2 separate regions of the Mus musculus genome follow, and region 1 is reported to be linked to region 2. The links are microRNA targets in miRTarBase. Many come from high-throughput screens and were not tested one by one. Region 2 holds a microRNA gene; the other region holds the end of a gene's coding sequence.
What was found. Region 2 holds the annotated microRNA mmu-miR-3093-5p (CGCACCCCGCGGAGCUCACACU, at 3,057-3,078, shown strand). A microRNA usually pairs through its seed, bases 2 to 8, with sites in the 3' UTR of a target mRNA and lowers its output. Matches are read on the target gene's strand: a 7mer-m8 pairs with bases 2 to 8, a 7mer-A1 pairs with bases 2 to 7 and ends in A, and an 8mer does both.

Region 1 (5,371 bases), not on the chromosome of region 2:
TAGTGAGCTACAGGAAGCCAGGACTATACAAAGAGACACCTGTCAAACAAAACAAACAAACAAAAAAACAAACAAACAACAGAAAGTCAAATGATAACAACACACAGACACGCTATGCCCACAGCAAAGATGGAGTGCTGAGCAGACAGGCCGCCAGGCAGATAGCCACTCGGCAGCCCCCGAGGGGTAGTGTTCAATGACACTGAAGGACTTCTCTCGGGCTGGGTCCATGTATCATCAGGAGCTCTTTTTTTTTCTTCATAATGAAGCTGCAGTTCATGAAGGGTGTGGCAGAACACACCTGTTACCCTACGAATGCTCTTCTCTCTCTGAAGGGCAGAGGTAGAACCCCTGAAAATCCTCTGTGCCACAAAACCACTAAGAACACCAGGAACGTGCTCTAGATGTTAAGCCTATGCTGGCAGCAACCCAGAAAGCAGTCACATCCCAGTAAAAACGGTGAGCTTCCTGATGTTTTAACTTGTCCTGCTTCCATCCTTGCCTTCCCAGCTTCGTGGTCATCCTAGAAACCAATAGCCAAAAAATTATGGTGAAGTCCAACAGCCCGATAGCTAATGTGAGTCACAGAAATGGGTTGCAGGTAGCCCCCGAAGGCAGGCCAGGTGCACCGAGGAGTTCAGTGCAAGCAACCTCAAAGCCTGAGAAATGACTAGTTACCTTGTGGGGCTGCTTGTACAAAGTGCTGTAGTGTCTGGACATCCTCTGGAGATTGACAGGTATCTACATACTCAGCCAGAGCCACAAGATTAGTAAGGCATTCTAGCAAATAGCTTCATCTTTACCCTGTGCTGGAAGCACACATGGCTTTCCTGCATGACCACTGGTCCACTTGACCATCGTGCCATGATTCAGATGGGGGCACAAGACACCGAGAAGGGATGGCCTGGGGTCTGCAGCTGAAATTACCACCTGCTGACTTCTGTAATATATAACACTTGTTTAGGGAACTATAGTCATATCTGACTTGGCTCTGGATGGTAGGTGAATTTAGAATCACGGCCATCCATTTGCAGAGTTTAGGGAATAATAAGGGATAGGCAAGAGAGACTCCCCAGGTAGCTGACAAGAGGTAAGGATATTTGCTGTCTTGCTGTTTCTAGGAAAATCCTGCCTTCCTCTGGGTGGTATCATAAACTGAAATAACCAGTGATAGCCAAAGGCTCGTCAACCCCCACAGTAAGAGGACCAAACCCAAGGACACAAAACACTTGAAATATCTTTAATGCTCCAGGCATTTAAAACATTCAATATAGTTGCCTTATTTCAGAAATGCCCTCTTCGGTGCAGGCTCTGTGTCCAGGATTGGAGGCACATACATCGGCTACTGAATCCTCAGGACAGCACCCACAACCCACATGCAACCCACTTTGGCACCTTGTCATTTTGTTCATGGGTCCCCTCCCTGCCACACTGGTACTAGGACTGAGTTCACCCAAGAACACAACCACGCCTGTTTATAAGAATACCTTATAGCATCACTATCACTGGCTGGCCCTGTGGGTCACAGACCATTCCCAGCGCTCCCCGATGTCCTGTGCATGTGTCATCCCACAGAGCTACTGACACACACTGTCAGCTGCTGTGCAGGCCAGCTCCATGCTGTTTCACAACACAGAGGCACTTATATATTCTTGGCAAAATGGACTTTATAATTGCCATTGAAGTCAAGTGTGAGGGGAGGGGCTTTTCTCCCATAATTAATGGATAACTCTAATATATATGATTAGATTTATAGATTAGTGTCTGTGTACATTTGCTACCAAGGACTTGACTACTGCTTAGGTAAATGAACGCATGTTTGATTTTTCAGATGCCTGGACGAGAAGCAAACTGAGACACTGCTTGGATAATATTTAGACTATGAATACACATATCAGCATCTGATTGTTCTTACAGAATTGCTTGCTTCAAAGAGTATTTTTTTTTGAGCCTAATCCTTAAGTGATTCTTCCAAGATAATAATGTGTTGCCCTCTTTCCCAAAGCAATGGTTCAAGGCACCTCAAGGCATACTGTTACCTGAGGTTCTGATTCAATTAGCCACAGGTGGGAAGGGTTAGCCACTTACTTAACTTCATGGAGAGTGTAGCATGCGGTCGGCATTGAGAACCTTGGTACCAAAGGCCCCTGAGTCTTCCACTTACTCTCTTTTGTTCTCACAAAACCTCCCTGAGGTAGCCCCTGGGTCAGGTAATGTCTCCTCCACGAGACACTAAGGCACAGTGGGTTATTTGGCTTGTGTGACATTGTGCAGTCTAATGACAGTGCCATGGGTGGAATTGGCATCTCCAAACAACCCCCCAACCCTGGGTGATGGGCAGCACTTACACCAACTGACCATGAAGAGTGACTGGGAGGCCAGGCATGGCCATCTGTGCCAGGGATACCATATAATGGTATGAAACGGCTCAAAGCCAGCCGATCTTCCTACTTGGTGGGAAGGAAATGCATAAAAATGGTTGAAGCTATGTGAGGAAGGAACTCAACCCTTCCCACTTTGTAACACCTCACTTCCTTTATACAGAGGGTATGGATTTGTTTAGGCTTATTACAAAACCTGTCAGAATTCATAAAGATTTACTGACATCTGCTTTTCCAGCTCCATAACAGCTAAACACTCTTGAATGTCCCTGTGATTTGGCTCCAAGAACCCACAGACCTCCCTGCTTTCTCCATTACCAGCCCACCTAGCCTAGCCGAGGACCCAGCACCCCCCTCCCTTTCTAAGTGAGTGTGCACACTGCCTTCTCAGACCACTCCCCGTCAGCTGTGCTGGGCCTCTAGAACTGATTTCATACTGAGTGTTTAACTTTGCTCTTGGTGCCGCCTCTGTTACCCACATTCCAGGTAACCCTGGCACCTTTGCCCTCTAACTCCAGGCTCCCATGAGTTAGAACTTTCCTTGCTTCAGTAAATACTGTCACATGCTGCCACCCACTGGTGCACATTCTAAAATTGTCTCATCTTTCCTTTCCTCGCCGCAAGCGCCCACACCTCACCCTGTCTGAGGAAGAGGTGCTTCAGCAGGTCTTCTGTGGACATTTCACTCGACTGTAGAGTGTACGAAGTAAATGCAAATGAAGACGCACACGGTTACACCAGCAAAGAACACACTGTGCTCTGGGGAGAAGGGCAGATTCGCTTCGTCTGCCGTGGTTCCAGGACACTCTTCAGAAGCGCCTGTTCACACGCTCACCCTGAATACACGAGACTCTTCCTGACACCACCATGGAAGCGGGCTCCCTAGAAGTCTATAAAATATGAATGGACCCATGACCCAGAAACAACATCTCATGGTACACTTTTGTGGACACTTAAAAGAAGCAGTGCAGAGCTCCAAAAATACTTCTTTCTCACTCAGGCAGGCACACCCTCACTGAGAGGGCGTCTCTCCTGTCACTTACATGCATATGCAGACTGGGCCCTTTCTGGAATGGAACCTGGCCCTCCAGCTCCTGCAGAGGCCCTTGGAGCCAAGGAGGCCCCGCATGGGGAGAGCTATGAGGTGAGGAGTGTGAGGAAAAGGATTCTACCTTCTCTGACTCCCAGAAAGGATTGCTACAAAGGTTCAAAGGTGGGGGGAGGGGGTTGTGGGGGGATAAAGGGGAGAGAAATTGCAAAGCGGCATTCAGAATTCTGGTTAAACCAAAGATAACTGAGACTCAAGACTCTTCAGAGACTCCCTCCCACCCACCCATCCACCCATCCCTTTAAGTAAAGTAAGATTATCATGGTTTTGTTTTTGTTTTTCTCTCTCTCATGCTTATTTGATGCTTGCAGATTCGTCAGGCCTGCGGCTTTTGTTTCTAAAACATGCAGTGAGCAGCATACACTGGCGTCCACAGGACCCCTGGCAGGCGCTCACTCATAGCCCACCGGGATGGTGACAAGCAAGAGGCCTTCACTGACAGGCCAGGGCACAGCCCGGACTGTGATGCATGCTGGTCCAGAGTTCAGCGGGACATAGTGTCGCAGGGAACATGTGGCAACCTCTAAAATGCTCTAAGGTCCAGTCTGTGTCCAGTGAGGCTGCACCATGCACAGACTAAGGCACTAAAGCTGCAGCAGGTGAGCAGACACCCCCTCAGAGGCCCCTGGGCTGCATCCCGGGGAGAAGGCGCTCTGTTCCCAGTACCATCCAAGGCCAGAAACCGCTCAAAGGATCAGATCACGCCATAACAAATCCCTGGTCCCAGCCCTTCAGAGAAGTGCTGGGCTCTCCCTCTCAGTCGCTTGCGCCAGCTTCCCAAGGTCTCCACAGCACTGTGGGCAGCTCAGCTGCTCTTCCACAGCCGCCATCTCTTCACACTCTTCCTGCACATCTGTCCCCCAGCATGCCTTGACAAGGAGCAGTCCAGTTCTCTCTCTTTCCTCTGGAGCAGGACCCCGTACATTTCCCAAGGTGGCTCTGTGCCTTCCGGTGCTTCACAGCTTGACGAACGCAGCCGGCTGCTGCGGCACCTGCTCCGTGTCCGGGGGTGGGAAGACACTGGATATGGCTATGTCCACGATGCCCTGGCACAGTTCTGCATAGAGTTTCCTGAAATAAGTTGTTAAAGATGTCACTGAGGCTGTTCATCAAAGCTGGGTATGGTGTGTGTGTGTGTGTGTGTGTGTATTTCAGTGACGATCTGCCCTAGAAATTCCTCTTTTGAAAAACTCGTCTCTGTGAATAAAGTACCCACAAGAGGCTCTGCACACAGATAAACCATGTAAGGCCTTGATGGGAACAAGGAGCTCCTGATGACTGGCAGAGAAGGTAATTTCAGTAGAATCAGGAGCCTGGCTCACCTGTCTGTGAGGCTGTACAAGGAGGGGTAGGCATCGGCCAGGAAAATCAACACCTTCTAAGAGAAAAGGGACACTAGTGAAGACTGGTGGAGTTGACAGTTGAGATGGGACTCAGGAAATAAAGAGTCATCTGACAAAGAGTGATGACAGCGTAGAAAAGCAGAGGAAGGAGAGGCAGGAGACAGAGGGTCTGGAGAAGGGGAAGGAGGCTGTGTGGGTGCGCATGCTGGGCAGTATGCGAGGGGAGCAGTAATCTATACCAACAAGACTGAAGAACTCAGGATACATAGGAGAAACGGAACTTGAGAGCAGAGCAAGCGTATTGTAGGCCCAAGGTCATGTGGCTCAGTGGGCTTAACTTCCCCTAGGGGCAACAGAACCCCATCATCTTAGTTCCCTTTCCTGTAATTCTAATCAGCACACGGGAGGTTTCGCCCCAGCATCCCTGACTTCTAACACCCACGGCTGCACAGCAGAACACAAAGGAGAGACCCTCCCATCTCCCTATGACAGTGTGTGGGGAGGTTGTCTGTCTGGTTCCCTTGTGGGACTCCATAGGT
Region 2 (5,371 bases):
CTAGGTCAGCATGTGGGGAGGAGTTTAGTGTGCATGTCACATGTATGTCAGGCATCCTTGAAAGGGCACAAGGTGGCATGAAGGGCATGAGGGAGCATGCAGAGAACGGGTCACAGGCTTGTAGGCATGGTGGAGAAATGTAGTCAAGGGCTTTACCAGGGTTGATCTAGGAATTGTATTTAGCACCATGCCCAGAGGGAAAGTTGCCTAGAGAACATTTGGGGGGAAGAAACCCCTTTTTCTGCAGGTGTACTGGAGCTCCAGGAGCTCCCAAGCCCTCTGGGCACACCATTCTGAGCTGTAGGGGAGTGAAGGAGACAGTTTAGGGTGTGCCCTTTTCTCTGCCCCACCATTGGACATGGCTTAGTTCTGGCAAATCATCCAAGCTGCCAAAGCTTCTAGAACACCTCTCCCCCAGCTGGTTTTGGTGGTGCATACAGGCTTGTAATCTCAGCACTTGGGAGGCTGGAGGCAAGAAGATCAAAATTTCAAAGCTGGTCTGTGCTAAAATAAGTTCAAGGCTAGCCTGAGCAGCTTAGCGAGACTGTCACAGAATAAAAAGTGAAAGAGGTAGGGCTTAGGGGCAGTAAAAGAGGTCTGGGGTAGTGGGGCTTGCCTGGCCTATAAGAGGCCCTGGGCTTAACCCTCAGTACTTAAATTAATTAACAAGCCTCTCTCAGAAAAGAGCATTAAAACAACATAGAGAGAAAAAAACAACATAGAGGTTTGAAAAGAAAATAAAAGAAAGAAAAGAAAAAAAGAAAAGAGAGGGAGATTCAAAATAAATAAATAAATAGACAGATAAATAAATAAATAAGTAAATAAATAAATAAATTCTGGCTAAACCTGGTCCTGAGAATGCCCCAAGACATGGAGAGATAAGGCTATTTGCTTGCTATCATCCTTCTGGTAGGGAAACATCTTGTGGGTTTTATCTCATCTCAAGCTGGCCCCACCCACAGCCATGCAGCCAGCATTAATAGCAATGAACATTCAGACATACTCCGTTTTGGGTGAGAAGCACTAAGTTAAACCTATTAGCCACCACCTTCCATCTAAGCAAGATAAGCAGTCCACAGGTCTGGCTTTGTTTTGGGCTATTCATGGGACTAGCAGATAGACAGACCCAATGGTTAAAGTGATAGTCCCCTAAATGGACTGCTGGTGACTCCGTGTTTAGGGGTCCCTGGTTACAGGAACTGGCTGGTTTAATCTGACCAGCAGGATTTAGGCATCTCAGCCAGTTTTATAGAAGGGACCCAGCAGAGGATAAGTAGGAGGATGAAGGGACCGCTCACTGGCACACAGAGCAGCTCCTGGGGCCCATGGTTGCTCTGAGAATTTCGATGTACCTAGAACCCAGATGTTGCCCAACAGCAACTGGCTACTCCCCGGTGCTTTTCTGCTTCTGCTTCTTTGGTGGAGAAAAGGACCTTTCTGGCTGGACTGGATTGAGAGCCAGGTGGAGGAAGTTGAGGACGGGGACAGAGCTTTGCCTGAAAGGCATCTTCCTTGGGGAACCGAACCCAGAGCTGGCACTGCATGCCTGGGAGCCTGGAGGAACATGGGTAGAGGGAAAGACCTATTAAAGGTCTCCAGGACTTGGCCAAATTCTGAGTCTCAAAAGCAGCTAGGATTCTGTGGTTATCTGCAGATAGGGTCAAGGAACATTCCCCTGAAATGCAGAAAAGAGGGCCCCCTTTGCTCGCCCATTGTCTCATAGCAGGAGACTCAAACTGCACAGTCTTCCCTTCAGTGAGGGTTTGAGTTGAAAACCTTGAACAAAAGAGACCCTTGCCTCTCCTAAATATTAGGATCACAGTTTGGGAGGAATTAGAACTCAAAAAGACTCTAACGGTGGGGTGAGGTGGGAGGGGGTCAGAGATAGAGTCTCCAGTCCGCATCCCTGCCTCAACCTCCTGGTGCTGAGATTACAGATCTCTTCTCTTTGAGGGAATTTTGCCCTATTTATTTTCTATTTTTGCGTGCTGGTCTTGGTGCAATGTACCGTAGAGCCCAAAAGGAAAATGTAAGATCGACAAGAAGAGCGAAGGTGGCCATCAGAACCGCAATTGGCAATGGATTATAGACGTGGCAGGCGGGTTGTAGATGAGGCAGCAAAAGACTAAGGATTGGCATAAAGACATTGGATCCCATTCTCTGGGGGAGGGGCACCCCAATTGCACGTCTTGGACTGGCCTGGGGAGGGAGGGGGTCGGGCATGGAAAGGCTGGGGGGGAGGGGGGGAAGAAACGAGACAGTGACGTCAGACCAGGTATAGCCAATCAGGGGCTGACCTGAGGAAGGAGTGTGAAGGGATGAATGAAAAGTCCGGAGCCTGAGAGCGCCCCCGCCAGAGCAGCGGCCAAGGCTGAGGAGAGAGCTGGGACTCGAGACCCTGCTCCACCCTGCTGGCTCTCGCTCGGCCCCATTACCTGGCAAGCCCCGGCATCCTTGACCCACGTCCGTGGCGCTGCCTGGGTAGGAACGCGCCTGAAGACCGCGCAGGACACTACCACTGGGCATCCTGGGTTTGATGTAAGTGGCCTGACCCGCGTGGGGCACGAGGTGGGGAAAGCGCCTCAGAGTCCAGCGCGCGCGTCCGCCACCTGCGACCACGGAGCTCTACACCCTCTGCACGGTCCCTGGACCTCCTTCCAGTGGGTTCAGTCCAGATAGCCCCCTCCAGCCACTAAGGGCATCTCTCACTCAGACCCCCAGTGGCATATTTCACATCTCTGAATGATTTCGGCTGCGTTTTGCACAAAACCGGCTCCCGCGCGGTTCCGTAGGTCCAGGGCTCGGAGCACCTGCCTGGTCACCCTTTGCCCTAACCCGCAGCCCCACGTCCTGACTGCTCGCCCGATTCTCTCTGGGTGGGGTCTTTGCCCTTGGGAGAGTCGCTGGGGAGTCTCTAGATCACCCTCCACCCCGCCGCCAGCCACAGGCTTCCCTCTGGGCCTCGGGGTTCCCCAGTGCTGGGGTTCCCGTCCGGGGCTTCGCGGCCGCTCCCCTGCAGTCGGTAGCTCGGAGCAGCTCTGCGAGCTCGGCTCTGCCGCACCCCGCGGAGCTCACACTCGACCTTCCAGAGAAGGGTGTGGACACCGTGGGAGGTTGGGGAGGCCTCGGCCTAGGCTTCTGCGGTCTTCCCGGATGGCACGAAGGCCCTGGAGCCTTTCCACTAGCACCGGCGGAACCCTGCTTCTGCACGGAGGAGGGAGTGGGAAATGGGCGGTCAGGCTTGGGGCCGCTTGGTTTCAGCCTAGATTCCCGACCTCAGAACCGTCGGCGGTAGCATCTTTTCCTCGCCTTTCTGAGGTCTCGTCGTGATAGTGCGTGAGGTCCTGGATCCCATCTTTTCGCCTCCACACCACGCGCGTCCCCCATCCGCCGTCGAGCGACTCGAGACTACGGAGGTCCAGGCGGTGGCCGGGAGGCTGCGTGGAAGAGGAGGAGGCGGCCAGGAGGCGGGGTTGGTTGTTATCTTTGGTTATCTAGCTGTATGAGTGGTGTGGAGTCTTCATAAAGCTAGATAACCGAAAGTAAAAATAACCCCATACACTGCGCAGAGGGCCTGGAACGCTGGTAGTGGCCGAGCTGCAGGAGGGAGAGCCGTGCCAGGCGTGCCTGGAGGCTGGAGGGCTGGGGGGAGGGGGACTCGTCGCCTTCAAAGGTTGCTCAGCCCGAGCCACCTCGCGATCCCCACCCGCAACCTGCTCACCTGGGAAGAAAGCAAGAAGCCGCTCTGGGGTCGCCTCTGGAGGCCTGGTCAAAATGGAGCAGTCTGGGCCTCAGTCCGGAGAAGCCGCTCCCGGGAGAGACAGAGCCCTTGGCTGAAGGGTTGGGGGGAAAGTGCAAGCATCCCTCTCCCGGTCTCGACGCATCCCGGGAGCGGGTGGCTGGTGTGAGCAGCTTCCCTCTGGCTCTTCGAAGCGACTGGTGGAGTTCGAGGTTCGTAGGATGTCTCTAGAAAGCTGGTTTTTGCTTTGGTGGTTTCCCTGAAGCCCTTCAGCTTTACTGGGAGTCAAGATTGCCCAGGTGGGAACAGGTCTAGGAGCGGGGAAGGCTTAAAAACCAACACACACATCGAACTTATTAGGGAGAATGGCGATGCAGAAACAAAGTAACCACAAGGGCAAGGGCCAGAGTGGCCAGAGACCTTTTTACCCCACAGGAATTCTGGGACCCTGGGGCGCAGGTTCTTTGCTTTCACTTTGGCCTTCAGGACCAGAGCTAAGTCTAACTGAACTCTCTCTGGCTGCTTTGTCATTAGTGGCTAAAGGTGTAGAGTTGGGGTGGGGGGCTTTAGAGCATCCCACCTTTCGGTCCTAACCTCACTCTTGGAAATCGTGTCCCAAAGGAACAAATGGCCTCAAGGAGCTCTGTGGAGCTCAAACACAAAGGAATGTGTAGCTGTGCTGCCCAGAGAACGCAAAGAATTAGAGAGATTAATTTGGGCTCCTGTAAAAAGAATCTATTTATCTTGCCTGACCTAAATATTTTAGTGAAAGAGGGTTTCTACAGCTGAGAAGATGGTCTAACAAACATGGCCAGAGCTAGGAATCCCCTCTGCTCTCATGGCCCTCAGCCGAACTTGACCAGCTGGCACTTGGAGACCTGGGCTGTACCGACTAATAAGAGGCAGAAAACTGGGCAAAATGTCATCACCCAGACTCCGCTGGTTCTTATAAATTTAAAATTTCCTCCCGGGACCTGATTTTACAGTTAGAAGATAATGATTCAATTTTGTATTACATGGGGGGAAATATTAGAGAATCCAAATTCAAATTCTGGGACTTCAGGGAATCTATTGCCTGTGTGTGTCTTCTTTAGCAGTTAGGGGAGGGAGAGTCGAGTGGCCTCTTAAATTCCAGAAGCTTGGAATTTGTTTTGTTTTGGTAGGGGTGGTGGGGATGAAGCTTAAGTCAAGGAGAAAAGAGGCTGGGTCTAGGCTGGAACTAATGGTCTGGCCACAGCCTGTTTTCTTTTTCCGCTGCTTGAGAGATGCCATGTGATCCCATGTTACACAGGCACAAGTGAGCAGCTGACATTACTCACTGGCTTGACACTCAAAGCTCCTTCCATTTACTCTGTCTTGGAGAAAGTGACACTCCCCACCCCAAGGGAGCCAACTGGGAAAGTAGAAAGAAGGGAAGCCTCTCTGTTATTGGGAATTTGCATGGGCAGAGGAGGGGCATCAATAAAATAAGCTTCCTTATCATTACCATCTTTAATGTTTCCTGTATAGTGTCTTCACTGTAAATTCCAGGACAGCCAGGGCTACACAGCCCTCTATCATAGCACAGGCCTATAATCTGAGCAGTTGCAAAGTAGAGGACGAAGGATCAAGAATTCAAAGTCATCCTTGTCT

Region 1: miRTarBase lists Ttl as a target of mmu-miR-3093-5p. Seed matches in the 3' UTR shown: 7mer-m8 at 2,728-2,734.

Annotation. Positions count from the first base shown.
Region 1 is chr2:129,092,130-129,097,500 of GRCm38, reverse strand. It overlaps Ttl (tubulin tyrosine ligase), which reads right to left. Exons shown (of 7, transcript NM_027192.2): 7 at 1,218-4,560. The coding sequence ends at 4,446. Gm46764 (predicted gene, 46764) reads left to right here. Exons shown (of 3, transcript NR_168333.1): 2 at 3,006-3,525; 3 at 3,801-4,728. Among named protein-coding and RNA genes, the nearest start is that of Gm46764, 6.1 kb to the left of the region's middle.
Region 2 is chr3:88,212,130-88,217,500 of GRCm38, forward strand. Mir3093 (microRNA 3093) reads left to right here and starts at 3,042; the gene lies at 3,042-3,128. The region is part of intron 2 of Gm3764 (predicted gene 3764); the gene reads left to right. Mir9-1 (microRNA 9-1) reads left to right here and starts at 3,469; the gene lies at 3,469-3,557. It overlaps Gm25641 (predicted gene, 25641), which reads right to left and starts at 3,541; the gene lies at 3,484-3,541.